Macaca mulatta: one gene and its partners. The protein of the gene in region 4 interacts with the protein of the main gene of each other region in a pairwise test. Links are inferred from orthologs where the notes say so. Each region holds a gene or a part of one and is shown on either strand. Other genes may lie near its edges. The genes, in order: RPRM, KCNS2, SLC7A1, FATE1, SLC38A1, TMEM11 and SMIM14.

Region 1 (3,643 bases), on a different chromosome or scaffold from region 4:
AAGAAACAGAAATAAGAGGATTTACCAAGCAAACAGAATGAAATTTAGAGTTGAAAATGGCAAGACAGCTGCTTTTCAGTTTTATTTTATTTTTAATTGACAAACAATTGTACATATTTATGAGGTATAAAGTGATATTTTGATACACATATATATTGTGGAATGATCAAATCAGAGTAATTAGCGTACCCATTATCTCAAATTTTTATCAGTTCTTTGTGGTGAGAACATTTAATAGAAAATAAATGTATTCTGTTGAAAGCTCAAGTTACTGGTTTCCAGCTGTTACAGCTGAAAGAAAGAGGGAGGAAGGCAGGGAGTAATGGGGAAAAGGAGGGAGGGAAAAGAAAATAGAAAAGGGGGCGCGGGATCATGCAGTATTCTTTCAGAGTTAAGAAACTTAATCTATAGGTTTATAAAATTTCGTTGGAACCTACAGCAAAATCACAATGGCTGAAGCGTCAATCAGGCCCATACAAACATCTGTGTTTAGTTTAAATGACTAAGGGTGAAATGCATCAGCTTATGGAAAATGGGGAGGGCTCCCAGCATTTGGCCAGCGTTTTAGGTGATGGATGTTGATGAGCAATTCCTTTAAACAACTGATTTACTGCCAATGGACAAAATGCTGGAAGCACATCCAAAAATTCATCTGCAATTAAAATTACAAGCAAGTGGTCACTGTGTTCACTTCCTTTACCAGAGAGGTGACCCCTGCTCCCGGCAACCACCTCCACCCAAGGGCCACAGAAGAACTCCTCCTTCCTCTAACCCCCTTTCCTTGGCCTCACACCTCATGATAAAATCTGCCTTGCTCTGTCTCCCAATCGCTTTTGTAAAGGAAGTTGAGTGTAGAGCTCTTTTTTCTCCCTGCCTTCCTTTTTTCTTTCTTTCCTTCCTTCCTTCCTTCTTCCATGCCTTTCTGTCTTTCCAAATTCATTACTTTGTAAGAAACATTCTCAGATCACCTCCACTCCACCAGAAATCCAACGCAGGCGAGACGGAGTCAAGCACAGGCGGTGGGCGGGTGGCCTCAGCTGGCACCATCTGGCACCTGGGATTCATCGCCACTTTCCATCAGCCCAGAGGTCAGGGGGACAGCCGGCAGAGGACACGCAGAGCTCGTGTGTCCCAGTTCCTCTGAAACTTTCAGCTGACCGCACCCTCCCCCGCCAAACTCTTTTAATCATCCATCAAGCTAGAAGAGTACGATGACCTCTGCCTGGCCTTCGGAGTTTGCAAAAGAAGAAAGCAATAAAAAGCAAGACCAGGTTCGCCCCTTTGCTTCCTCCACCGCCCAAGAGTAGCGCGCAGCGCGGCGGTGCGGCCGGAAGGGGCCGCTGTTTACTCAGTGCAGCCGCCCCGCCGCTGCAGCCGCCGCTGCCCGCACCTCCCACGGCCGGGCTGGTCCAGCCCCGCCAAGTTCCAACAGCCCCCAGTCGAGCGAGCGCCGGGAACGAGCACCGCCCGGGCTGGAGCGGACGGCTTTAGAAGAGCCTAGCTGCTGCGCGCGTCGGAGAGGCTCCTGGGAAACTCCCACGGCCCAGGGACTTTCGAAAGCAGAGCTAGGAGCCCTTGCAAGCGCTAGTCTGCGAGTGAGCGCTCAGCTCGGCACCTGTTCCTCCAGCGCCGCCGCCTTCCCACCCCTCGGACCCGCGCCGCTCGCGGCGCCCGCCCGCTCCTGCGATGAATCCGGCCCTGGGCAACCAGACCGACGTGGCGGGCCTGTTCCTGGCTAACAGCAGCGAGGCGCTGGAGCGAGCCGTGCGCTGCTGCACCCAGGCGTCCGTGGTGACCGACGACGGCTTCGCGGAGGGAGGCCCGGACGAGCGCAGCCTGTACATAATGCGCGTGGTGCAGATCGCCGTTATGTGCGTGCTCTCACTCACCGTGGTCTTCGGCATCTTCTTCCTCGGCTGCAATCTGCTGATCAAGTCCGAGGGCATGATCAACTTCCTCGTGAAGGACCGGAGACCGTCTAAGGAGGTGGAGGCAGTGGTCGTGGGGCCCTACTGACCCGCCCCTCCGCCCCCGCGGCAACCGCTCCCACGCCTGCCCACTTTGCCAGCCCGGCTGTGCCCCTCACTGTCAGAGACTGGGCGAAGCAAACCTGTCGGAGTCAATTATTTCTCTCGACTTCGGCCTTTCGGAAAGAAGCGACCGGTTTCTCCCTCGCCCTCTGAAAGTCCTCATGCCTGGCAGTCGGAGGAGAGCGCCCGGACTTCTGGACTCAGCAGAAAGTGGCAAGAAGAAGGCGATTAGGGCGCAGAACTTTGGAAGCTGCTACTTACTTGGAATGCGGGGAGAACGACGGGGCGCAGGCCCTTCTCCACCCGCAGGTGGGCCAAGCTCTGGGGGCAAGTGGAGAGGGAGGGCAGGGGAGAGACCCAGCGGCACTGATCGCCTTGTGACCGGAAAAATGACCTGTTAAAAGCCACGCAGCAGACATCATGGGGTCTCACAAATCCGTGTCCGGGTGTGCTCCCACTCTTCTCCTGCTCCCCACCAGCCCTGGAGGGGAGAGGCGATAAATACCTTTGATTGTAACGTGCTGTTTTAAGAGGTTTTGTGTTTGTTTGCTTGAATACAAATATTTGATAAGTCTTTTTCTGCCCCAGTGGCCTGTTTGCCTGCCTGAGGGGTTAAAGTTTTGTCGTTGTGGGAGAAGGGGTGGGGGGAGGGGAGCCTGCGACTTTGAGGGGGGTGAGTTGTTTCTTTTAGTGCATTTCCCACTGGGTCTTTTGGGAGGTGTCTAGCGTTCCTGCTGGCCCTGATACAAAGACCCAGAATAGAACTCGTAGCTCGTGACTGCACGGTTTACGCCACAAAAGTGCTCTTGACATCCGTGACACCGTTTTGACTTTTTGTTTTTTTTTTTTCTTATTTAACATTTCCTTAATAAATGCAACATTTAAGCGTTTTGTTCCTGGCCTCCTGGTGGTCATTCTGCGCTCCCCAGCAGGGGGGGAACGGGGCGGCGGTGCAGAGTCTGGCTCCCGGCCAGGGAAATTCACCCTAGAGAGCTGCGATTCAACTTGTGGATCCCATGGAGGGGCGAGGGTGGGGCCAGACGGAGAGGCCCTGGGATGACTGAGACAGAGCCCAGCCTCAGGCACAGTAGCCGTCCTGGAGGTAGCATCCTTTGTTTCCTCTTATCGTGAATATTTTATATTTCATTTAGTCTCAGCTCTCAGATAGGCGAGACTACAGGAGGGCCCCCGCGGGAAGATTACACTTCCGTGCCAGGCTCCGGCGGGAACACAGGATTACACCGCTAATGAAAGGAAGAGAAGGCTTGGACAGCCTTTACGGAGAGCGTCTCTACCCTAACCAACGTCAGCGAGGCGGCTTTGGGATGCTGCCCACGGGCGGGGCCGGGGCATGGGGAAGGGGAATTATAAAATGCAAGGAAAAGTAGCTGCTAAGGTACACAGTGACGTTAATGCTCCCTGGGGTAAACCATTGTTACTAAAACATGAGATGCATTACTGTCGTTGCTATATTACTTTTTCTGGCAAAAAAAAGACCAGGTTAAAATAAAGGTTCAGCCTGTTCTTTGTAATTTAGACTGCCCCAGACCAGGCAAAGGGTTGAGAGGAGTTAGCCGAGGTCCTGAATGTGGGAGATGAGTATTACAACCCCA
Region 2 (4,248 bases), on a different chromosome or scaffold from region 4:
CATTTATAAAAACAACTTAAGACTTGCATTGGTCAAGTGTGCTTAACTTTGCATTCTCTTTGTTTTGGTATTAAAACTAAATGAAAGTAATGAATAAAGAGCTGAGATTTTGTTTTCACATGACTGTGAGCAAAAATCTCATGATATCCTTGCTGACCTCATAGATGCATTTCCAGTGGACAGACTTGTGGGGGCTTTTTGTACAGAACTCACACGACAACCTCAGAAACAGGAGCACAACAACTCATAGACAGTACTGGGCCACAAGCACTAGAATAGCGTACACGATGAACAGAAAAATTAGCATTCTGGGTGTACTCATCTGGCAAAAAGGTGAACATTTTATGCCCACGATGCAAAGACCAGTGAGTGTCATTTCATGGAAAGGTGCAAAGGCATGGTGTCAGACACACCACCCTCTAAAAACGATTCTAAATACTGCAAAAGAAACCTGGGTGCATATCCCATGCATCTCTCCCCTCAGGGGCTGGGCATACTCCTTACACCATAACCATAAGGTGCCTGGCTGTGCCAGAGGCACAAGAGGCAGCTCAGCAATGTGGGGTGGAGGGTGACAAGTCCTCCCAGCTAATGTAGTGAATCATTTAAACTGAGTTCACTTGGTGAGCTCCTGCTCATGTTCGTCAGGCTTGCCATGAGGGATTTAACTTTATGGGCATAATAGTCCCTTAAATTGACTGAAGGGACCTCCTTCATTCCATCTCCAAAGTCACAGCTGCGCATGGCACTCTCAAGTTGCTTTTGGCGCCGGTAAAAGTGGGAGAACTTATTGAAGATCAAGGTGATGGGCAGGACCACCACGAGGATGCCTGCCAAGATGCAGGCAGAGGCAGTCAGCTTCCCTGCCGTGGTCCCTGGGACCACATCCCCGTACCCTACTGTGGTCATACTGACAGTAGCCCACCACCAGCAGGCGGGGATGGTGGCCAGGCCCTCGTTCTCCTCCTTTTCAATGGTGTAGGCCACCACGGAGAAGATGGAAATTCCGACGGAGAGGTAGAGCAAGAGCAGCCCTACTTCTTTGTAGCTGTATTTCAAAGTGGCCCCCAGGGAGCGGAGGCCCGTGGAGTGCCTGGCCAGCTTTAAGATGCGGAAGATCCGCATCAGCCTCAGGACCTGGGCCACCCTGCCCAAGTTGGCTAAGGTAGGTGTGCTCTCCACCACCAGGTTCACCACTAGAGTTATGTAAAAGGGGACGATGGACATGAGGTCAATAAGGTTTAGGGCATTCTTGAAGAACTTGAGGAAGTCAGGGGCCACAGCAAACCTGGCCACCAGCTCAAATGTGAACCAGGCGATGCCAAAGTGCTCCACGATTTCGAACCTAGGGTCCTCGCCAGGGTTGCCCTGGCTATCAGGGATTTGGAAGTCAGGCAGGCTATTGAGGCACATGGTGATGATGGACCCCATCACCACCAGAATGGACAGGATGCTGAAGACCCTGCTCAGCACTGAGTAGCCAGGGTTGTCCAGGGCCAGCCACAGCTGCCTGCGGAAGTTGCCAAGGGGCTGCCCATCGAACTTGGAGGCGTCGTTGTAGAAGGCAAGGATCTCATCGAAGGAAGACGTGGTGCTCTCCTGGTCACTCTGCTCGTCCCACTTCTCCTGCTCGGGCTCCACTTTGCGACCATGGTAGCTGTAGCTGCAGCAGGAGTCAATGAAGAACTCGTTGATGCCCCAGTACTCGATCTCCTGGCTGAAGGAGAATACGCACAGCTCAGCCATGACGTGAAGCTTGCCGGTGTGATAGAAATGCAGCACGTAGGGGAAGAGCTCAGGGTTGCGGTCAAAGTAGAACTCCCGCTGGACGTCGTCGTAGTCATCACAGAGCTCCAGAATGGCCTCGCGCGAGTGGCAGAGCAGCAGGCGGCCCAGGCGCGTCTCGGGAAAGCGCAGCAGCGTGTGCGAGCGCAGCCTCCTCTTGAAGCCGCCCACGTTGATGCGGATCTCCCCGTCCTCGACGTTGGCCTCCGACACGTCCCACAGGCTCTGGCCGGTCATGCTGGAGGCACCGGCCGCCCGCGCCGCGCGGGGGCGCTACACCTGGAAGCGGAGGGAACAGCATCGGCAAGAGGGCCGTGCGCCCCGGCCCATCGCCCCCTCTCCCTACCCATTTCTGGCGGGCCCAAGCCTCCTAGGTGGGTCTTGGGTGCTGAAGGGCACTGGGCTGGGGCAAGAGTTTGAGGGGTCTGGCCCCCTCCCAGGAAAGGCTGGGGGTAGGTATGTTTCTATTAGCACGGCTCCACCCCGGGGGTCTCGGTTGGCGCTTTGCGCGTGCAGCGTCGCGTCCCCGCGGCTCTGAGCGCCCAGGGGGCTGCGTGCTGACCTTGTCCATGGGCAGGCCCGGGAGACGCCCCCGCCCGCTCGCCGCAGACAGGAGGGACCAGAGCTGAAATACGCACGGGCAGAGCGGGGCCGACATGGGGGGCGCGTAGCTTTGGGAGGTTGGGGCGGATGCGCTGGAGTCTGGAAACCCGGGCCGGGGAAAGAGCGGGGCGGCCCGGCCTCCCCTGGGTCCAGCTCCCAAGCCTGCAGCCCCCGCGTCCCCGGCCCAGGTCTCACCACCCGCCTGGCGCTATGCCCCAGGGCCGCGTGCGCTGCGCCTCACCCGGCGGGGCTGCCCGGGCTCGCCCTGCGCGTTCTGGAAGCGCTTACCTGGGAGCACGGGCGCCCGCGGCCGAGGCCGGCGGGAAACTTCCCCGACCCGCGGGCGAGCATCGCGGCGGTGGCCGCTGCCTGCTGGCGGTGCGTGCGCGGATGCGAGTGTGTGCGCCCGAGTGTGCGCCCGGCGGGCCGGCGGGCGGGGGCCGCCGAGCTTCTCCTCCCGTCTCGGGCCGGGCAAGCCGCCGCCGCCCGCAGCTGCGGAAGGCTCACAGGTGGCTGCGTGGTCCCGCCGCTCGCGGAGCCCCTTCTCCGGATCCGCGCGCCCGTCACCCGCCGAAAGAAGCAGGAGCCCGCGCCGCAGGCGCCCCGTGAACCCGGGCGGGAGCAGAGCGGGTGTGACCGGGCGCGGGCCCTGCGTTGGGCGCGGCGCGGTGGTGCTGAACGGACAGCTCCGCGCGCCTCGGCCGCCGCCCCGGGCTCGGAAGGCGCAGCCGCCGCCGCCGCTGCTTCTCTGCGCTTCCCCGGCGCGTCACCGCGACCACCTTGCGCCCCCGGCTCGGCGCGGGGCCGACACCCCTCCCTCCCCCCCGCCCATCCCCCGGTGACAGCTGTTATTATCACCACCCCCAGGGCGCAGGCAGGGGGCTGCCCACGGTGACCTTTACCCGCTGGGTCTGGCGGGAGCCGGGCTGGGAAATAAAGGGCGGCTTGCGCGTGTCCGGGGACAGGGCGGGACCGGAGGAACTCCAGGTTTCCCCTTTTAGGGACCTGAAGAAAAGTTTCCCGAAGACCGGGGGTGGGGTTGTTGGGGAAAAGGAGCTGGAGGAGAAAACAGGGGGCCGGGAAGTCTGAGGTGGAGCTCGGCTTAGTACGCGGGGGACGGTAGCGCAGGCCGCACAGCGGGGGCAGGAGTCGCTGAGTTCTGGTCGGGAGCTCTGTGTGGGCACCGTTTGTGTCCAGGCCGGTGTGGTATGCGGGCTGTGCGGGACTGCAGGGCGCTGTGTGTGTGTATAGGCTGAGGACAGCAGGACTTTTCACTGTGTGTACCGCATTCATTAAAATGGGTCCTCTGTCGGATGGGAAGATGCGTCGGCACAGGGGAGCCCTGGGACGTGTGTCAGCGCGGTGTGTGGCATGGGGAACCGTGTGTTGTGTGTACAGTGTGCTGTGTACAGTGTAGTATTCTTGGGACTGTGACGGACTTATGTGTGTGGAATACGTTGAGACCGATGTGCGTGCCAACAGTGGGGACTGGGGGGTTCGAGCTGGAGTGGGGACTGGTAGATGTGCTCAGGATCTGCGTCCCCATTCCCAAGAAGACTTGTGGCCCAGATCTGAGCTCTTGGTCTCCTAGGATTGTCCTTAAGGCCCTGCCTACTGGGCTGAGCTGAGAAATGGACCCAGTCCCTGGGCAGCCCCCTCCCTTTGGTCTTTCTCTGTGGTGTCCACTTGCAAAACTGGGGCACCGTGGGTGTGCGAGCTTAGCAGGGAGCTAGCGTCTACATGTCTCCGTCAGAAGTCCTGGGAATGCCCTTGCAAGGTGGCTCTGGACTCATGGTGCAAACACCACAGCCACAGTGGGAAGCACATTCTTTCTTTAGGCAATTCTGGCAATGCCGTCCC
Region 3 (4,248 bases), on a different chromosome or scaffold from region 4:
CTTTGAACCCCATGTTTAGAGGGTCCCCATTCCACAGGACAAGCCCACCGCCAGGTGGCCCACTAGAAGGCGGCAGAGGAGCAAAGGGAGGCCATGGGCAGCAAGGAGCCAGAGGTTGAAGAGACCCCCCAGATTTGGCGAGAGGAGCCAGTGAGGCTAGGTGAAGGGGAAGGACGCCAGCACCCTGGACGGCTGGCTGCAACACACAGGCAGGCACCTGAAAGGGGCTCCAAGAAGATACGTCTTCTAGCCCTGACCCTGGGGATGAGAGTTCTAAAAAGGGCAGTTGTGACTTTCAGAAAGTCCCTCTTCCATCCAACAGGTTCTTTGCTCAGCCTTCCCATCTCATTAATACAGCAACTCTGATGTGCTTGGAGTCATATTTGACCTTTCTCACCCTCCATGAATCCACTGGCCAATCTTATTGGATCTGCTTTAAAATCTGTCCAGGTCTGCAGGGCCCAACTATATAGAAAAACACCACAACCCATCGGAACGTCTTGCTTGGAGTGAGGACCAAGAAGCAGGTGGAGTGACAGGCATCTCTGAAGATGCCTCTGGAAGAGATAACTCCGAGACCCAAGTATCTCCAAGGTTTAGAGGGAAAAAAATATTTTTCTCCATAACAAGGATGCACTTATTCACATTTCAAATTTGTCCCTCGGAATAACAGCAATCTCTCCAAATACATGGTTGATAATGAGAAAGGATTAATTTAATTGGACATAATTCTGAGCCCTCCAACATAATTACCTATTTGTATGGACTTTGGTTAAAATAAACTACAGACCGGCATAATCAATCAACATGTATTTAATTCCATCAAAGAATGAGTTCTTCTACCAAATAGAAAATTGAAACTCCCTGAAGTCAACAACCTTGTCTTTCAAGCCTTTTTTTTTTTTTTTCACCTAAAGCAAGTAATCATATGCACAGAAGCATGTGGCTCTAGGATCCAGACCCAGACAAGGGAGTACATTTCTGATCCACTTATTAAGCCGTATCCTCTTTACTCAAAACTCCTTTGACATCCTTTGAATTTTACCTTTATAATAATTAAACGTGATCGTAATATGCTAAACCTATTTTTAAAACTATTTTAACCTATTGTTGACTTTTCCCCTAAGTTTCTATCCTGTTCGTGTGACTTAAATAAGACCTTTTGTTTTAATAACAGGAAGGTGTGTTCATATGAAAATCACGATAATTTCCACTGACACCAACTAAAAATACCAGAGGAATAAATGTTTCATGGTTACCTATTATCTGAACCAAACATAAAGGGCAAGAAATATTAAGAAAAATCCCAAATAAATTATAATTCGAATTAAATACAATTAGGGCATTCAGCCAGAGGCCGACATACACAATTCTACTAGTCGAATGGAAAATAAAAGGCACATTTTTTAGGGAGATACACCTGGGATTGAAATCCCAACCATCTGGTAACTATGTCTGGACTAAAACCCAACACATGAGGGCATGGCGGTGATGACGTGAGTATTGGGAAATGCAGGTTATTTATTTTTCCTGAAGGCACATGTCTGACTATCCCAGTCACACAAGTCAAACACAACTGCTATCTGGGTCCCCCATCCCCTCGAAAGGGTCAGGAGCTGAACCAACAGGCCGTTGTAGTACTACCGCGCAGCTGCCGCTCTGAATACACGTAGGTTTTAGAATGACTGTGACCTGCCCATGCCCGGGAAGTTTTCTACTACGCAGAAGGGAATACCCTGAGAATACGGTGTCTTCCCAAAGGCGGAAGAACTTCCTCTCACTCCAAACCATGTGGAGGGCCTGAGGAACCCGGTCTTTTCAGGCCACACTGGGTCACAAAGAAGCCCACCTAGGGGAGACTTCATCGAAGCAATATTGGGGACCCAGACGAGAGGTGCAGGCGGCGCGTCCCGGGTTCTAGGAACAAGCGGAGGGCTAGGTGCTCTAGGTCAGGGCGACCACCAGGCGGGGATGGCGACAGAGTCCCCGGGCGGGCCACCTGCCGCAGGACCACCCTCGGGGCGGCCGGGCAGGGTCCCCACCCAAGGCTGATGACACATCCCCGGACCTCGTGGCGGGGCGGGGTGCTCTGCACCGCGCCATGTAAGGGAAGGTCTCCTCGCTGCCAGCGGGCTCCGGATGCTTCCCGGGCTGGCCAGTGCACCCGCCGCCCACCTACCCACCCCGACCACCCGGTGCGTAGCGGCGCGCGGGTCCCCGGACAGGCGCGCGGGGCGGGCATCGCCAGGTCGCCCACGCTTACTCACTCGGTGTTGCATCATACACCACGCCGCGGCTTCAAGGAGCCAAAATGGACTCCGTGGAGGCGACAGCCGCATGGGCACCAGCCCCGCGTGCCCACTCCAGGGCCCGCCCGGTCCAGGTCCTGGCCCTTCCCGGAGGATGGCAGCGCTCCCGGCGCGGGGACCCTCGCCACTCCCGCGCCGCCCTCCCGTGGCCCCACGCAGAGCCAGGGCCGCCTTCGTGATAACCCGGGCCCAAGGAGCTGCCCCCTGCATTGGCGGGGGCCGGGCACTCACCGAGCCGGCGGCGGCGGGGCTCCGGCAGGACAGTGGACGGACAGTCGGACACGCTCAAGGACCAACGGACGCTCGGCCGGGGAGACTGGGCGGGGCGGAGGCGCGGCGCGCGGGGAGAGGAGTGGAGGCTGCGGTTAGCGGGAGCCGGTGGCCGCGTGCGCGCCTGCCAGGCGGTTGACCCGGGGCTCACACCTGCCCGCGCTGACTGAATGGGCGCGGAGGACTGGCGGAATCCGGCGCCAGGTTTCATCAGCCGCGCGCCCGGCCCCCGCCCCTCGCGCCCAGCTCCCCGCGCCCGCCTACGGACCAGGCAGCCCCGGCCCGCTCGGCCGCGTCACCGCCGGGCACCAATGGGAGCGCGGCGCGGTGGCGGCTGCCAGCCCAGAGGCGGCGGCCGAGTACCGACGCGCCCTTGGTGGGCGGGGCAGCTGAGTCTTCGCGCGCCCGGCGCCTCAACCTGCGGTTCCCGCGGCGGGCGGGCGGGAGGGCGGGCGGGCGGGAGGGCGGGCGGGGTGCACCTCCGCTCGCCTTCTCAGTAGCTCGGCAGGCGTGTGGCCGCTTCTCCGCCAATCTCAGCCCGCCGCGCCACAGCATCCTATGGTCCCCTGCAGATCCCACAGCGCCCGGCCAGAACTAGTGCCGCAGGTCCGGCTGTGCCAACCCCGTCCCGGCGGGCCCCAGGGAGCTCACACGGAGCTCGAGACCAGTTTTCCTTCTGGTATAAGATTTGGTATGCACGTAAAGGGTTTAAATTGTCTTTTCTTTTTAGAGACAGAGTGTTGCCCTGTTGCCCAGGCTGGAGCGCAGTTCACCTTAACCTCGAAATCCTGGTCAAGTGATCCTCCCGCCTGGGCCTCCCAAAGCGCCCTAGGATTACAGGCCTGAAACACTGCACCGGCCTAAAAATTACTATAAATCTTCATATCTTTGTTATTGGATTATTTTATTGCTATTCCCTTGCCCTTGCTAATACTTTATCCTTGCCAGTTGTCAGAAGAGCCCCAAAGCTTGAATCTACCAGTGCCCCCTTGGCGGTGGCAAATGCACAAACAGCTAAGTCAGAACGGCTCACTTTTGCAGTTACCTCCCAGGAAGTGGCAGAAACTTCAGTCCTGAATCACACCGTGCTCACCTCTTAAGCTCCTTCCTTGTCTCCTTTGGTACCAAAAACCAAGCAAGAATCATAATCTTTAAAGATTCAGTGATCTACGACTTGGGATAGGTAAGCAGGGCATAAATTAATACTGCCATCCTTCTTCTTGTAGGAAAACAAAAACAGTGGACGGTGTCCGTGGCCTTTGAATCCTTTCTACAGGTGCTTCTCAAATGTCAGCTGCTGAACTATTCCCTTGGAATTAGACTAGCAATTTATAAAGTACATAATTGCATGGTGCTAGCTTCAGAAAAAGTGTTTTGTTGTTGTTGCTGTCGTCATTTGTTTGTTTTTTAGAGACAGGGGTCTCACTCTGTCACCCAGGCCGGAATGCAGTGGTACAATCATAGCTCACTGTAACTTCAAATTCCCAGGCTCAGGTGATCCTCCTGCCTCAGCCTCCCAAGTAGATAGAACTACAGGCTTGTGTCATCACGCCTAGTTAATATTTTTTTTATATATAGACAAGGGTTTTTGATATGTTGCATAGGCTGGCCTCAAATACCAGCTGTCTTGCGATCATTTTGCCTCAACCTCCACTAGCATCTAGGACTA
Region 4 (2,304 bases):
GCAAATGAGAATGTTTCTGGTCCCTTTCAGGAGATTTCCTCTGATTGCATCCCTGCAACACAGTCCAGACATGCTCCCAGAACCACACACCCACAAGCACCCATTTGCATCAGCCCAACAGGAAGAACTTTGCAAAGCTGGGGCTGGGGACAGTGAGGCGGGGAAGGTGAAAGGGAGGAGGAAACCAGGGCACCTGGGGCAATGGCAGAGGCTCAGTCCCAGCCACAAGGTCTTTGTGAAGAGGCGCTGTTGTTCCTCAGTGCACCCCAACCCCACTGTTGCCCCAAATGAGTGCTGGACACAGGAACCTCAGCCACAGAGTTTTGCTGCTATGGCGGAACTTTTATTGAGCATGATGTTTGCGCAGAGCGTTGTGCACGAGGTGGAAGCAAACGAGGGAGGAAAACAAAGCCACACCCCTGCCCACAGAGGATGGAACAGAAGGGCCGCTGAGGTCAGGAAGGCAAGGTTGCCACTAGGTGTTACTGTGGCGTCCAGATGCCGCCATGCTCTTCACCCTTCAAAGGATGGCATCTCAGCCCATGCAGTCCTCCTCCACCTTCGCAGCAGCCAGGACCTCCCAATGCAGTGACCTGACCTCCCCAGGTAGGAGGCCTAACCAGAGCTGAAAATGACCCTGACGCTGCCTGAGGGCTGCTGGGAGATAAAAGGGGGATGGGCAATGGCGGCCCAGGGAAAGAGGAAAGAAAGAAGGGGAAGCAGGGAGGGCTCCAATACGGAGGCCGCGCGGGGGCGATCACTGGTTCATCCACAGCCACAGGTTGGCTATGCTGGCTGACACCAGCACGGCGATGATCAGGGTCTCCCTCTGGCGCCAGGTGGCGCCCTGCTCCTCCAGGGCGCGCAGACGCCGGTTGACTGCATATAGCTGCAGAGGAGCCAAAGGGAGGACTACTGAGCCAGGCTCTTCTCCAGAAGCCCACAGCTCAGCCATCGGAAAAGCATAAAGTTAAAGCAAGAAGGGGCTTGATTGCCCTTTGGCGGTGGAGCGGGGAGTGCCCCTAGTGAGAAGCAGGGGGCTGGGCCAGGTCCGCTGGACCAAAGACTTGGCTGCTGCGTCTGCAGTCGCTACTTCTGCCTTCTCCCTTGATGCTCACTTCCATTCTCTGGAAGAGGCCAGCCCATTCCAGCTGCTCCGGGGGGCCAAGGGAGGAAGGGTCTCCTCCTGAGAAGGTCTGGGTTTGATTTGAACAAAGGCGACCCCTCTCTCAGACTGTTGGGTATCACTCTCTCTCTGGACATAGAACACTTATCCTTGTATGTTCCCTCTTCCTTTACCTTTTATCGGCCCCTATTCCCTGCCAGCATCTCAGGGACAGCAGTAGGTTTGAGATTGGACATCTACCTGGGTCAGAGCCATGGGGATGAGGAGGAAAAGGAAGGGAATCTGCCCTACCTCCAGCGCTAAAGGGAAAGATGACTGTAAGGGGCTACAAGACCCCAGATGTTGAGCCCTGACTACTCCAAGGCATTGTGATTCTGCTTGCACCCACCAATTGGGTCCCTCCTCACCTGTCTTCTCATGACTTCCATCTCCAGTACATTGAGCTCTTCCAGGCTAGTCTGTGCCACTGCATCTGTACCTGGGTTGCTGGGAGAGAAAAAAGACAGAGGGTCAAAGCTGCTGGTGGCCCCGGCAGGACCTGGCAGTGAGCACAAGAAGGCAATGAGGTCAAGCAGGTAAGGTCAGGAACTTCTTGGACAGTGACTATGAGCCTCCAGTCCTCTCCCATGGTAAAGAGGGCCTAGGGCCTTGAGGACTGGGAGTCAGCCTGAGCTAGCCTGAGCCAGCCTGGCCCAGCCTGGCCCAGCCCAACTCGGCTAGCCCACAGAGCACTGGGATGCCCCAAATGGGCAGGGAGCCAGGGTGCTCATGGTCTCTGACAGGGAGGCATTCCAGGCCCTCATGACTCCGTCCTGGCCAAGCTGCTCACCAGCCCCTCCGCCCCACTCTGGGCCCTGTCTGAGCAGCCAGGGCCCACAGACCCTCAGCTCTTACCGATCATAATGGAAACGCATGCCTTGGAAATTGCCAGGGTACTCCTGGAGATGGGCATCCCCATGGCCTGATTCTCTCAGCATTCTGGGCATTGGCAGCTGGGACCCCTGAAGAAAGGAATGATCAGTAAAGTAGCCTGCCCAGCCCCACGTGAGTGGCTTCCCCAGTTTGCCCAGAACCAATGGTGCACCCCATGGGGAGTCACATGGTGCCTGGTCTCTGGAATCAAGGGCTGGCAGCTTCAGGCCTCTAGGAAAGCTTGGGAACTCCACACAGGCTGCTGG
Region 5 (4,181 bases), on a different chromosome or scaffold from region 4:
GAAAGCTGTTGCACCTCAGTAACTGGCTGTTTCACTCTTAACCATGTGTTGTGCTTGCATTTTTCTCCACCGCCCACTCCCACTTCCCCGAGATTGTTGAAGGCACCTCTATATCTGTTTCATATGTCTCCAAGTCTAGGTCAGGTGACAGGGACCTGAACTTGGGCAGTGGAAATGGAGACAAGAGGACAAGTGTGAGGGGTATTTTCAAGGGCCTGGTCACTGCTCAAAGTGGGGAGGGCAGTAAGAGAAGGAGAAGCAGAGAAGAGAAAGACTGTAATTTTCAAACTGAGGAGAAGGGGAACAGATGAGATATAGAAAGGAAGGGATGGTCAATAACATCACAAAGAGATGAACAAGATGGCTTGACCAAGGTCTCAATCCAACAAGTATTTATTAAGCAGGTACTATGTGCTGGACATTAGAGGAACAATGAGTAAAATCGGTTTTTGTCCACAAGCATCACCCAGAGTAAGGAAAAGAGTAGCAACCGTCCGATGTCAGGACTCCTAAACATGGTGCTCCTTTCATTAAACGGCCTTAATTCATGGAGCATCATAAAAAAAAATACATAAACAACATACATATAGGTTTAAAGATCCAAAACACCTTTAAAATCTATTCATCTCTCTGTTCAATTATATTACAGTCAAAGAAGAGTGCAGTAAGTACTTGCTGTTCCTTCTTCCTGTTCCTTCTGCTGGCCTTCTTCCCTCAATTATAGAAATAGCTGGTCCCTTTTCATCATTCGGGTCTGAGGACAAATGTTATACCCTCACACTGGCCCTCCCGGTGAGTCACTCTATTTCAAGCATCCTCCCCCATCACATGATCCTGTTTTACTTCTTCATTGCACTAAGAATACCCGAAATGTATATGCCTACATTTATATAGTCTGTTTCCCCCTGAGAACGGAAGCTTCATAGAAGGTGAAACAAATCTTGTTAGTTGCTACCAGTCGCACAGTAAACCCTCTGTAGAAAATGTTTATTGGCCACGTTTTTTTAAAAAGCGAATAAATCTCAAGATTAAGACCTCAAACCAAACTAGGCCAGTTTCCAATTGCTTGCGGCAACATACTGAGAACTCGAGTGACTCTCAAGAGAAAAGCCATTTTGAGGCTGGGGTCGAACCAAAATCCAGGGGGTCCACACCAGGTCAGTACCCCGGAATTGGCTGTTTTGCAAGATTTCGGGAGGACCAAACTAGCATGAGGTATCTGACAACGAGGCCAGCCATGCACCGAGCTCAGGTTTTATTTCCGTTGTCCTTCTGACGTCAGAAAAAGCACGAGTTGCTGCACAGTTTCTTTTATCAAGGTGACAAATTACACTCTCGCTGGGCCCTGCATTCTGCAAACCATAAATGTATTTTCCTCCTCCCCCTTGTATTTAAAAATGTAAAAACCCACTGCAGAGAGGTCAAAACCCCTTCCAAACGCAAATGAATACCGTTTTCTAGCAGAGGCGTCTTTTTTCACTGTTACTACATATATCACCGTGGATTCGTCTGAGAAAGTAAACGAATCCTGGCGGCAGTTAGTTTCTAACAGAGAACGAGGGTTTGTATAAGCCTCGGGTCCGCGCCGCAGAGCAAGACAAAGGACTCTGAATTGTAGCACCACCTTCCCCAGTCCAAGGCAGCCTGTGAAAGGCACTGGGAGCGGCGTGACGCGGTTACCGCGAAATTCCTTTTGCTGCCATATGCACTTGTGCCTTCACTGACTACAGTTCAGCAAAAACCTCGGGCGGGCGATTTGGCAGGGAATCGGCGCCCAGGCAGCCGGGTAACCTACCGGATCCCAACGGTACTGAGGAGCCCCATGCTCCGGGAGGTGGGTAATTTAGGGGGCAAAGGGCTCGCACAAGGACGAAGGTGCGCTCTCCTCCCGGCACCGATCCACGCATTTAAAGGCCTCTGTGGCGATGTTTAGGGACGCGAGCTTGCTGTCGGGGGTTGGGAAGGAGGTAGGACTGGAAGCGAGAGCAGTCAGCGCCCAAGACCGCGCAAGAGGTGGCCTTTTGTTCGCTGGCTCCAGCACATCCCGACTCTCGAAAAAACACTATCCCTGTCCCCCGCCACCCTCTGCATTTTAGAAAAACCTCTTCAGGGCAGGAAAGGACAGTGAGTCACTTGCAAACATCCTTTAGTAATTTCTCCTCGCGCCCTCCTACTTCCCCGCGTTACAGAGGGGCAGAGCACCAGGAAGGACGGCAAACGTGCCCGGGTTTACTGGTGGTCCGCCGCGGCTACCCAGCCGGCCACACGCAGCACCCCAGGACATCACACGATCTCCCCTGGGCCTTGGGGACACAGGAAATTTTCCCCAAAGGTCGGGGATTCAAACACTCCTATAACAGGGTCGCGCCCTCGGGTCAGATGCGCTCTCCCTCCAGACCTGCGTGGTTCCCGGCCCTCGTAAAAATGGAACCAGATCTGGTACCACACTCCGCCACAGCCACAGGAAAACACACCAAAGCCACAGGAAAACAAACCAAAAAGTAAGCCACAGCCCACGCAAAGGTGAACTCGGGGGCCCTGGCGCTTCCTCGCTCTGCCGCATGCGTTCGGGAAGCACAGGAGACCTGGACTTTTCCTCTCCTAAAAGCAACATCCGAAAGCATCCGGCACAGCCTAGCTCTCTCTGCTTTCACGCCAGCAGAGATGATTTCTACGTTACCGCCTCCTCCCACATCTAAACATCCCCTCGCCGCTTGCCCAGCCCTCCCAGGGAACGGATAATCACCTTACCTCCGCAGATAAAGGGAAAGGTGGCGAAAGGCGACGTGGATGTGTCCGCCCTTCCGGGGTTTTTACCCTCGGCAGTTTGATGTCCTTTGTGTCAAGGTCTGGCTGCGGAGGCCGGGAAAAGGTGGCTCCCGTCAGTCAGGGCTGGGCAGGGAGCTTGGCGTGGCCTGGCGGATTTCCGAGGAAGGTGAAGGGCGGAGGCTCCTGGCGACCTTCAGGCGGAGTGGCGTGGCTGCCCCAGTCCGCGCTCGCCTGTCTCTCCTCCTCCTTTCCGGGCCGATTGCATCAGAATCTCCCCTCACCACCAACCCCCACTCACACTCTGCTCGCCGGCCTCGCACTTACATCCACATGCACCCGCGCTGAGGGTCACGAATCGGAGTCATTCTCCTACTGGGAGGCGCGTGGCCCTTCCGCAACCATGGCTTGTGATGGTTTAAGGGGGACAGGACATTCCTCCCTGTCCCGCGCGCCGTCTCCTCCCCTCCTGTGCGCCCGCTCTTTAACCAAAGCTGCGTGTCACTGAGCCGTGCCGGTCACATGGTGTCACTGCTAGCGGCCGCGCCTTGCTGCCTCCCTCTTGCAGCTCTCTGACGATGCAGCGACCGCGGCTGGCGGAGATTGAGCAACGGGGAAAGGGTGAGGGAGGGGTTGCGGGGCGCGCGTGTGCCCGCCGCACTGAAGGTGGCACCGGGAGCGGAGGCTGCGCACCGCCCTGGCACCTGCCCCTCTCCCTCCCGGGGCCCGGCGGCGTGTTCGGAACCCAGCTGCGGCGGCAGCTGGAGAATGAGAGCCCTTAGAGATGGGGGTGGAGTGGCTAAAGGGGCACCGGAGGAGGACAGGAGGGCTGTGCGTTTCGCTGGGGCCTGCATTTTGGGTACGCCAGAGCCCCGCCGGGGCCGAAGGAGCGAGGGAGTTGCATTGTGGGAAGGGCGCAGCATGAGGATGGCCGCGGGAGTGGCCGGTCCGAGCCCAGCCCGGAGAGCAGCGGGGAGCGCCTGGGACTACGAGCAGCGTTGGAGCGGAGGGTTGGCCCTGGGTACAGCCCGCAGATGGCCCGGGTTGGCGGGAAGGGGAACGAAGCGACAGGGGGAGCGGGGAGCTCGGGCACCTTTAGAAACCCTTTGTCCCTATCCTGAAGCGGGAGGCACCTCCCTTCTTCCGGATCCAGCATCCGCAGACCTGGCAAGCCCTTCCTGAGATCTGCCCTGTGGAGCTCTGCTTTGGGGACTGGGTGTGAGGCAACCAGAAGGATCTGCTGAGCGCCGAGAAAGCACCGGCCTAGGCGCAAGAGGCGGGGGCCAGCTCTTAGAGGGCCTGGAGACCCCATGTGGTTCCGACCGAAGGACCTGGTGCGTCCAGGTTAACTGAGCTGGGGCGCTCCAAGTCCTGGGGACAAGGGAGCGCGATGGAGGGGAACAGGGGCAACTGGG
Region 6 (3,500 bases), on a different chromosome or scaffold from region 4:
GGAGGTGAGTGTGTGCAGAGGCAGGCGCGACAGTTTATAGGCGTCGTACTCCACTTGGTACTTGCAGCAAGGGTCAAACTGCCAGGAGATCCCATAGAGGGTGCAGCAGGCCAGGCTCAGCACACCAGCGGGCAGGGAGATGTAGTGGGAATAATCTAAGGGCAGCGCCAACGGGGTGAAGAGGCAGGCGGTGCCCGCCAGCACGGCCGTCTTGTGCAGGCAGTTGCCCACGGTGATCCAGCGGGCCGTCTCGTCGCCGATGCGCGTGGGCTCAATCACAATGTACTTGTACTGGGCTTCCAGGGCCTGCTCCAGCTCGTACTCAAACTGGTCTTGGGCATTCTCCCCATTGTAGATCTCGTGCACAATGTAGCAGTCTGTGGCCGACAAGCTCACCCTTTTGACGGAGGGGGCGGGAGAGGGAGAGAGAGAGAGAGGATGATTAGGCTGAGCAGCACTTAACTGTGTTTCGATGCTGGGGGAGGTCTGAGCCTGCACTGCGGAGAGCACATCTCCCTGAGGTCCTTATCTCCTTCAGATCCCAACACAAGACAATCAGTAAAAAGTACTTTTCCTGAAATAGTGAAATAAGCCTGGGCGCAGTGGCTCACACCTGTAATCCTAGCACTTTGGGAGGCCGGGGTGGGTGAATCATGAGGTCAGGAGTTCAAGACCAGCCTGGCCAATATGGTGAAACCCTATGTCTACTAAAGATACAAAAAATTAGCCAGGTGTGGTGGCGCATGCCTATAATCCCCGTTATCTACTCGGGAGGCTGAGGCAGGAGAATCATTTGAACCTGGGAGGCAGAGGTTGCAGTGAGCCGAGATCGTGCCATTGCACTGCAGCCTGGGTGACAGGACGAGACTCTGTCTCAAAAAAAAAAAAAAAATTTAGATATAAAAAGGCAGGAAAAGGAGTACCTCGATGTTTAAAAGAACAAACGCAGGCCTGGTGGTTAGCCTAAGGCTGTGGACCAACTGATCTGAGTCAGCAAAGGAGCCTAAAGGGGAAAGAAGGATTCGCACAGTCACATGGGCGCACACGGCAGCACGAGGCCAACAGCCTGAGAGCCGCTCTTAATCAGGGCAACTGCAGGAGGATTCTCACTGCAAACCACAGGCCTCAGGACAGATCATGCTAAGCCCTTACCCTCCACACGGTTCCTAAGTAGTCATCCTGGGCCCACAGAACAGAGGCACAATGGAAGAGCTCTGCCTTGGGCAAAATCCAAACTCCTTTGGCTCTCCTGGGAGGCCGGGCTGCACGAGCCCTGGGTGCCCTTCCCGGATGGCAGCAGCCTCCTGCTCCTCCCCACCGCGGAGGGGAGAACAGGAGACCCAGGACACTAGCCCACTGCATAGGAAAAGCGACCCTTTCCCTGACTTAGGAAAAGACGACACTTCAAGGACAGTAGCGGCCCCCAAACGTAGCGGGCAGGAGGGTCAACTGAGGGGCTTCAAAACATCCAGCCAGCAATGCCACCGATTCCGGCCCTGCAGGCCCAGGCCCCTGCCCCACCGGCAAATGCCACTCATTTGCATCAGAAACACATCCACAGAGAACACACAAGGGGCTTTCCCCCTGGGACTGGGGTGCATGCCATGACCCCAAGCAGCAGCAGATCCACCACATGGAAGGCGCAGCTCTGCAGCAAGGCCAGACAGCAGCCCGGTGGCAGCCCCAGCAGTGACCGTGGGCCAAGCTGCATTTTAGGCATTCTGGCTTTTCTTGGTTTCAGGCCTTGCAGTCCAAATTTCCCACCCAAAGCAGAATCTTCTTCACCTGTGGCGGGCAGGCCTGAATACAGGGCTACCCACGCCTTGTCATTTTTCCTTGGCTGGTTTCAGCTGAGACAGATCTTTTTTTTTTTTTTTGAGACGGAGTCTCGCTCTGTCGCCCAGGCTGGAGTGTGGTGGCCGGATCTCGGCTCACTGCAAGCTCCGCCTCCCGGGTTCACGCCATTCTCCTGCCTCAGCCTCCTGGGTAGCTGGGACTACAGGCACCTGCCACCTCGCCCGGCTAGTTTTTTTGTATTTTTTTAGTAGAGATGGGGTTTCACCGTGTTAGCCAGGATGGGCTCGATCTCCTGACCTCGTGATCCGCCCGCCTCGGCCTCCCAAAGTGCTGGGATTACAGGCTTGAGCCACCGCGCCCGGCCAGCTGAGACAGATCTTTCTGCATCTCCGCAACGCCACTCTGCATCCTGCTTTTCCATTATCTGCTCATCCGCGAGAAGTCTTGATCTGAGCCCTGACAGGGACACTGCTAGACACAGCTCTTGAGGCTGGATCAAGTTTTCCAACTCATGGCTCCTCCGGCTGGGCAGAGCCATGCTCCTCAGTGCAAAGCTGCCCCTTCCCTCAGCACACCCCGGTCCCCAGGACGGTCAAACTCATCTGACTAAAGGACACGAGGCTCTAGGGACCTGCTGGTCACTGCTCCCCTGCCGGAGTCCATGCCCCTCCCACTGGGAGGCTCTGGCACAGTGTACTAGGCCACACAAGGGTCAGTGTGGCCCATCTACCTGAGGCTCTGACAGGAACTAGCTTCCTTTAGGGGCCAACGAGAAGCACAGCCCTCAGTGTGCACAGACGCGAAGGTCCCGTCCGCCCGGCCTGTCCTGGCACGCACACCTGGCTGCGCACCTGTGCAGAGGAAAGTCATGGGGAGCTGAGCCACCTGGCCATCGGCCACAACATGGGAGCGACGAGTGAAGACTCATAACAAGCCACCCTCAGCCCAGCATGAAGGTAACTCCCTCCAGGCTCCTTCAAAGATGGGAGCAGTTCCAAGTGAAGGATGGTGGAAATCCGACTGTCAGGGTAAACTTCAAGGAAAAAGAACAGGCAATCACGGTCCTCCCTACAACTGAGACTCCTCCCAGCTCAAAGCTTTCAGCAAACAAAGAAGCAAACCTAACAGGCTGGGTTTCATGCTGGCTGGATGAACAACTGGTGAACGATCTTATGTGGCCACATTCAAGATGAAAGTCATTAGTAATGGGCTGACTGTGCCCCCAAACATGGGGGCCCTACCCCCTGGGTGGGAACCACTTTCATAAAAGGCACTGGCTTGGACCTGGGCAAAGGGAACTCTTTATCCTGCAAAAGTCACTGTAACGAAGCTGGGCTAAGGCAAAGCCTCCTAATTCAATCATAGGCCCTCATTAAACTGCATGCACTGGGGAGAAATCAGTTCGCTGCGGGTGGGACAAGAGCCTCCTAAACTTGGGTTGCTGCCAAGCCGCCTGTGACTGTGTGCCAGTGTCGTGGCTGCCTTGCCAGGGGTGAACTGATGAGCTGTTACTGTAAGACTGCACGAGCAGCTTCTGTGGGGAAAGGAGGGGTTGCCTTCTAAAGCCCTCGGTGGAGTTTTTCCATGTGGTCTGAGAGGAGAGGTGAGGGAGAGGCCAGCTGTTACTCCCAGGCAGGATTCAACAGCTTTTATTTTTGAGACAGGTTCCTGCGCTGTCACCCAGGTAGGAGTGCAGTGGTGTG
Region 7 (3,500 bases), on a different chromosome or scaffold from region 4:
GCTGGAGTGCAATGGCGCGATCTTGGCTCACTGCAACCTCCACCTCCTGGGTTCAAGCAACTGTCTTGCCTTAGCCTCCCAAGTAGCTGGGATTACAGGCGCCCACCACCATGCCCAGCTAATTTTCGTATTTTTAGTAGAAACAAGGTTTCACCATGTTGGCCAGGATAGTCTCGAACTCCTAAACTCAGGTGATCTGCCCATCTCGGCCTCCCAAAGTGCTGGGCTTACAGGCGTGAGCCACCGTGCCCAGCCTCATGGAAATATTTTTAAAGAGATAATATTCAAATTCAATGTTAAAAAAAACACACACATAAATACTGGTTCTGAAAAGGATTAAAAGGAATCCTTTAACAGAGGTTCTTTTTTTTTTTTTGAGACACAATCTCACTCTGTAGCCCAAGCTGGAGTGTGGTGGTGTGATCTTGGCTCACTGCAACCTCTGCCTCCTGAGCTCAAACGATTCTCAAGCCTCAGCTTCCTGAGTAGCTGGGACTATAGGCGCACACCACCATGTCCGGCTAATTTTTTGTATTTTAGTAGAGACGGGGTTTCACCATGTTGCCCAGGGTACCATGTCCGGTTAATTTTTTGTATTTTAGTAGAGACGGGGTTTTACCATGTTGCCCAGGGTGGTCTTGAACACCTGAGATCAGGCGATCTGCCCGCCTTGGCCTCCCAAAGTGCTGGGATTGCAGGTGTGAGCCACTGCGCCTGGCCAACAGAGTTTCTATTAAAGATAGTACTGAAAACTCCCTGTTGGGTCACTTTATCACAGTTTTAATTTAGAAGGTTCTAAAAATGGTTGTAATCATGACTATCAAGATTTATCAACATGAATGATTCTGACCTCTCCTTTTGCCAGCTCAGTTGATTTGTTGTGGTACAGAAATGGAAAATGGGTTTGAGAGAAATAGGATGGGAAAATGAGGAAAATAAAATCAGACAGGCTCAGTGTCTCTACTGAATAGCTAGGACAGAAGGGGGTCAAACATTTGAGCTGAAGCTACTAAGAGTTTAGAGGCTAGAAGCATGAGAGGCAAGGGATCAACTGTGAGGTGGACAGAACTGAGTAGTGGAGGATTGAGATTTAAGCAATATTGCTGTGGATTATGAAATGGATTATTTCATAATGCTTCTCATGCGAGTAAAGATTGGAATTCAAGCCTGGGCAACCTGGCAAAACCCCATCTCTACAAAAAAAAATACAAAAAACTAGCCAAGTGTGCTAGTGCATGCCTGTGGTCCCAGCTACTCAGAAGGGTGAGGTGGGAGGATCACCTGAGCCTGGGAGGTAGAGGCTACAGTGAGCTAAGATCGCACCAATGCACTCCAGCCTGGGCAGCTGAGCAAGACCCTGTCTGAACAACAACAACAAAAAAATTGGAATTCATTTTCAAATTAATTTTCGGCTTCTGGTCTGTGCTTCTTTCTGCATTTAACTCCACAAAGATTAAGCCATCAATTAAATCTTGGAATTGCAAGATTTAATAGAACTACATAGGTAGAATACTCTATGAGTTAAATGTAATTTAACTAATATAGGTATTTTAGTCAAAACCAAGTCCTTCCCTGCCCCAGGTCACATACATTCCCTTACCCAAAAAGCATTTAAAATGTGCAATACTTACATTATGAGGACTGGTTGGCTTTCCAGGTAGGTTGGATCCTCTTAGATTCGGAGGTCTCAGTAAGAACAAGATCAATGCAATAACCATCCAGGCCACTAAGATCATAGTAACACTGATGCCATTATCACCAGAGGGTCCTGGTACTAAAGACAAACAAAAAATGTAGCATGCTCACAACATTGTTAAAAGTAAAAATAAATTCTAATGTTTAAATGTCAGTTTCAAATATTGTGTTAATATAAAAATTGTATTGATAAATTAAAGAAGTACATATTATACCTTCAATTTCCCTTTCCTCCAGTGAGAACATCTAAAAAGTAAATGATGTTAAATAGTCATAAACCAAAACCTAGTAAGTTTTTGTTGTTTTCATTTTTTGAGATGGGGTCTTGCTCTATCAAACAGGCTGGAGTGCGGTGGCTCAATCGTAGCCCACTACAGCCTTAAACTTCTATGCTCATGGGATCCTCTCACCTCAGCCTCCTGAGTAGCTGGGACTACAGGTGTGTGCCACCATGCCCCATGCCCCAAATTTTTAATTTTTGTTTTTAGGAGAAACACTGTGTTGCCTGGGCTGGTTTCTAACAATTGTTTGTTTTTTTTTTTTAGATGGAGTCTCACTCTGTTGCCAAGGCCAGAGTACAGTGGGATGATCTTGGCTCACTGCAACCTCCACCTCCCAGGATCAAGCAATTCTGCCTCAGTCTCCTGAGTAGCTGGGATTACAGGCATGTGCCACCACGCCCAGCTAATTTTTGTATTTCTAGTAGAGACAGGGGTTCACCATGTTGGCCAGGCTGGTCTTGAACTCCTGACCTTAGGTGATCCACCCGCCTTGGCCTCCCAAAGTGCTCGGATTACAGGTGTGAGCCACTGTGTCCAGCCCCACACCCCTAATTTTTTTTTTTTTTAATTTTTAGTAGTGATGACGTCTCACTATGTTGCTTGGACTAGTCTCTAATAAATTTTTTAATAGTACACTAATTCTTAATATTTTGGGGTAACAGAATCATTTGAGAATTTGATAAAAATTAAGAACTCTATTTTAAGAATTCATGGGGTCCTTCAACAGAGGCCTTGCAAGGCAAGCTGGCCATGCCATGTTTGTAGATTAGTGAGGCTAGGGGCCCTAACTTCCCTAAGATCTACTTTTCTAGCTACCTCTGCCCTGTGTCTGGCACCTACATCCTTCATGATTGTTCTTTTTGATCCATTCTGGATTAAAAATAAATATGAAAAGCACTCATGTATACCAAATTCCACAATTTTGCATATAATTGTGGAAGGTTTAAGGACCCACAAAGCCACGAATCCATAGATTTGCTGAGATCTATGAATCTGAGTTAAGACCACAGAAAAAACACTCTCCTTTGGGGGGAAATCTGCATCTTAATTACAGAGGCATCATGAAAAAGAAAGGGAACATCCGGGCTGCATAATATATACATTAAAAGATCCCTTTAATTACAGTCTCAACCAAAGAGATGACTTTGGCCTTCTTTTTCACACAAAGAAGTTGAATTCAGGTCTAGATATTTTAAAATTTAATCAGTTTTTATCTTCTATCAATTTTTTGTCTTCTATTTATCATGAGGAAAAAGCTAGACAGGGATGTATGTAAGTATACAGGTATCAGTTTTTCCTGGCTCCTTGACATAGCCATGTCTTATTTAATTTGAAATAACAAGTGCCTAGCACAGTGCCTGATATGAGGTTAACAAATTTCTAATAAATGAAACATAGATTTTTTATTGAAGTATATTAGAGAACTCAATTTTCAGAAATACAAATGGCCGGATGCGGTGACTCACGCCTATTATCCCAGCATTTTGGGAAGCCAAGATGGGCATATTGCCTGAGCTCAGGAAT

The links.
Region 1: the proteins of FATE1 (region 4) and RPRM interact in binary tests that used the Homo sapiens proteins (3 or more experiments, as listed by UniProt). The two-hybrid records come from large-scale screens. The link is inferred for Macaca mulatta from reciprocal best matches to the Homo sapiens genes FATE1 and RPRM.
Region 2: the proteins of FATE1 (region 4) and KCNS2 interact in binary tests that used the Homo sapiens proteins (3 or more experiments, as listed by UniProt). The two-hybrid records come from large-scale screens. The link is inferred for Macaca mulatta from reciprocal best matches to the Homo sapiens genes FATE1 and KCNS2.
Region 3: the proteins of FATE1 (region 4) and SLC7A1 interact in binary tests that used the Homo sapiens proteins (3 or more experiments, as listed by UniProt). The two-hybrid records come from large-scale screens. The link is inferred for Macaca mulatta from reciprocal best matches to the Homo sapiens genes FATE1 and SLC7A1.
Region 5: the proteins of FATE1 (region 4) and SLC38A1 interact in binary tests that used the Homo sapiens proteins (3 or more experiments, as listed by UniProt). The two-hybrid records come from large-scale screens. The link is inferred for Macaca mulatta from reciprocal best matches to the Homo sapiens genes FATE1 and SLC38A1.
Region 6: the proteins of FATE1 (region 4) and TMEM11 interact in binary tests that used the Homo sapiens proteins (3 or more experiments, as listed by UniProt). The two-hybrid records come from large-scale screens. The link is inferred for Macaca mulatta from reciprocal best matches to the Homo sapiens genes FATE1 and TMEM11.
Region 7: the proteins of FATE1 (region 4) and SMIM14 interact in binary tests that used the Homo sapiens proteins (3 or more experiments, as listed by UniProt). The two-hybrid records come from large-scale screens. The link is inferred for Macaca mulatta from reciprocal best matches to the Homo sapiens genes FATE1 and SMIM14.

Annotation. Positions count from the first base shown.
Region 1 is NC_133417.1:58,348,100-58,351,742, reverse strand, and holds RPRM (protein reprimo), read left to right. Parts: upstream 1-1,443; 5' UTR 1,444-1,686; coding exon 1,687-2,016; 3' UTR 2,017-3,143; downstream 3,144-3,643. UniProt on the Homo sapiens protein: May be involved in the regulation of p53-dependent G2 arrest of the cell cycle. Seems to induce cell cycle arrest by inhibiting CDK1 activity and nuclear translocation of the CDC2 cyclin B1 complex.
Region 2 is NC_133413.1:108,804,198-108,808,445, reverse strand, and holds the start of KCNS2 (delayed-rectifier potassium channel regulatory subunit KCNS2), read right to left. Parts: upstream 2,801-4,248; 5' UTR 2,677-2,800; intron 2,065-2,676; 5' UTR 2,023-2,064; coding exon 589-2,022; 3' UTR 1-588. UniProt on the Homo sapiens protein: Potassium channel regulatory subunit that modulate the delayed rectifier voltage-gated potassium channel activity of KCNB1 and KCNB2 by altering their kinetics, expression levels, and shifting the half-inactivation potential to more polarized values.
Region 3 is NC_133422.1:9,489,717-9,493,964, forward strand, and holds the start of SLC7A1 (high affinity cationic amino acid transporter 1), read right to left. Parts: upstream 2,801-4,248; 5' UTR 2,679-2,800; coding exon of another isoform or gene 2,052-2,678; exon of another isoform or gene 378-2,051; intron 1-377. Other genes in the region: uncharacterized protein LOC144336222, read left to right, coding at 2,052-2,678. UniProt on the Homo sapiens protein: High-affinity, low capacity permease involved in the transport of the cationic amino acids (arginine, lysine and ornithine) in non-hepatic tissues.
Region 4 is NC_133426.1:157,958,366-157,960,669, reverse strand, and holds the end of FATE1 (fetal and adult testis-expressed transcript protein), read right to left. Parts: intron 2,128-2,304; coding exon 2,021-2,127; intron 1,613-2,020; coding exon 1,534-1,612; intron 890-1,533; coding exon 758-889; 3' UTR 501-757; downstream 1-500. UniProt on the Homo sapiens protein: Involved in the regulation of endoplasmic reticulum (ER)-mitochondria coupling. Negatively regulates the ER-mitochondria distance and Ca(2+) transfer from ER to mitochondria possibly implicating it in the regulation of apoptosis.
Region 5 is NC_133416.1:53,346,873-53,351,053, forward strand, and holds the start of SLC38A1 (sodium-coupled neutral amino acid symporter 1), read right to left. Parts: upstream 2,801-4,181; 5' UTR 2,752-2,800; exon of another isoform or gene 2,747-2,751; intron 1-2,746. UniProt on the Homo sapiens protein: Symporter that cotransports short-chain neutral amino acids and sodium ions from the extraccellular to the intracellular side of the cell membrane. The transport is elctrogenic, pH dependent and driven by the Na(+) electrochemical gradient.
Region 6 is NC_133421.1:22,088,550-22,092,049, forward strand, and holds part of TMEM11 (transmembrane protein 11, mitochondrial), read right to left. Parts: intron 398-3,500; coding exon 1-397. UniProt on the Homo sapiens protein: Plays a role in mitochondrial morphogenesis.
Region 7 is NC_133410.1:38,769,434-38,772,933, forward strand, and holds part of SMIM14 (small integral membrane protein 14), read right to left. Parts: intron 1,775-3,500; coding exon 1,632-1,774; intron 1-1,631.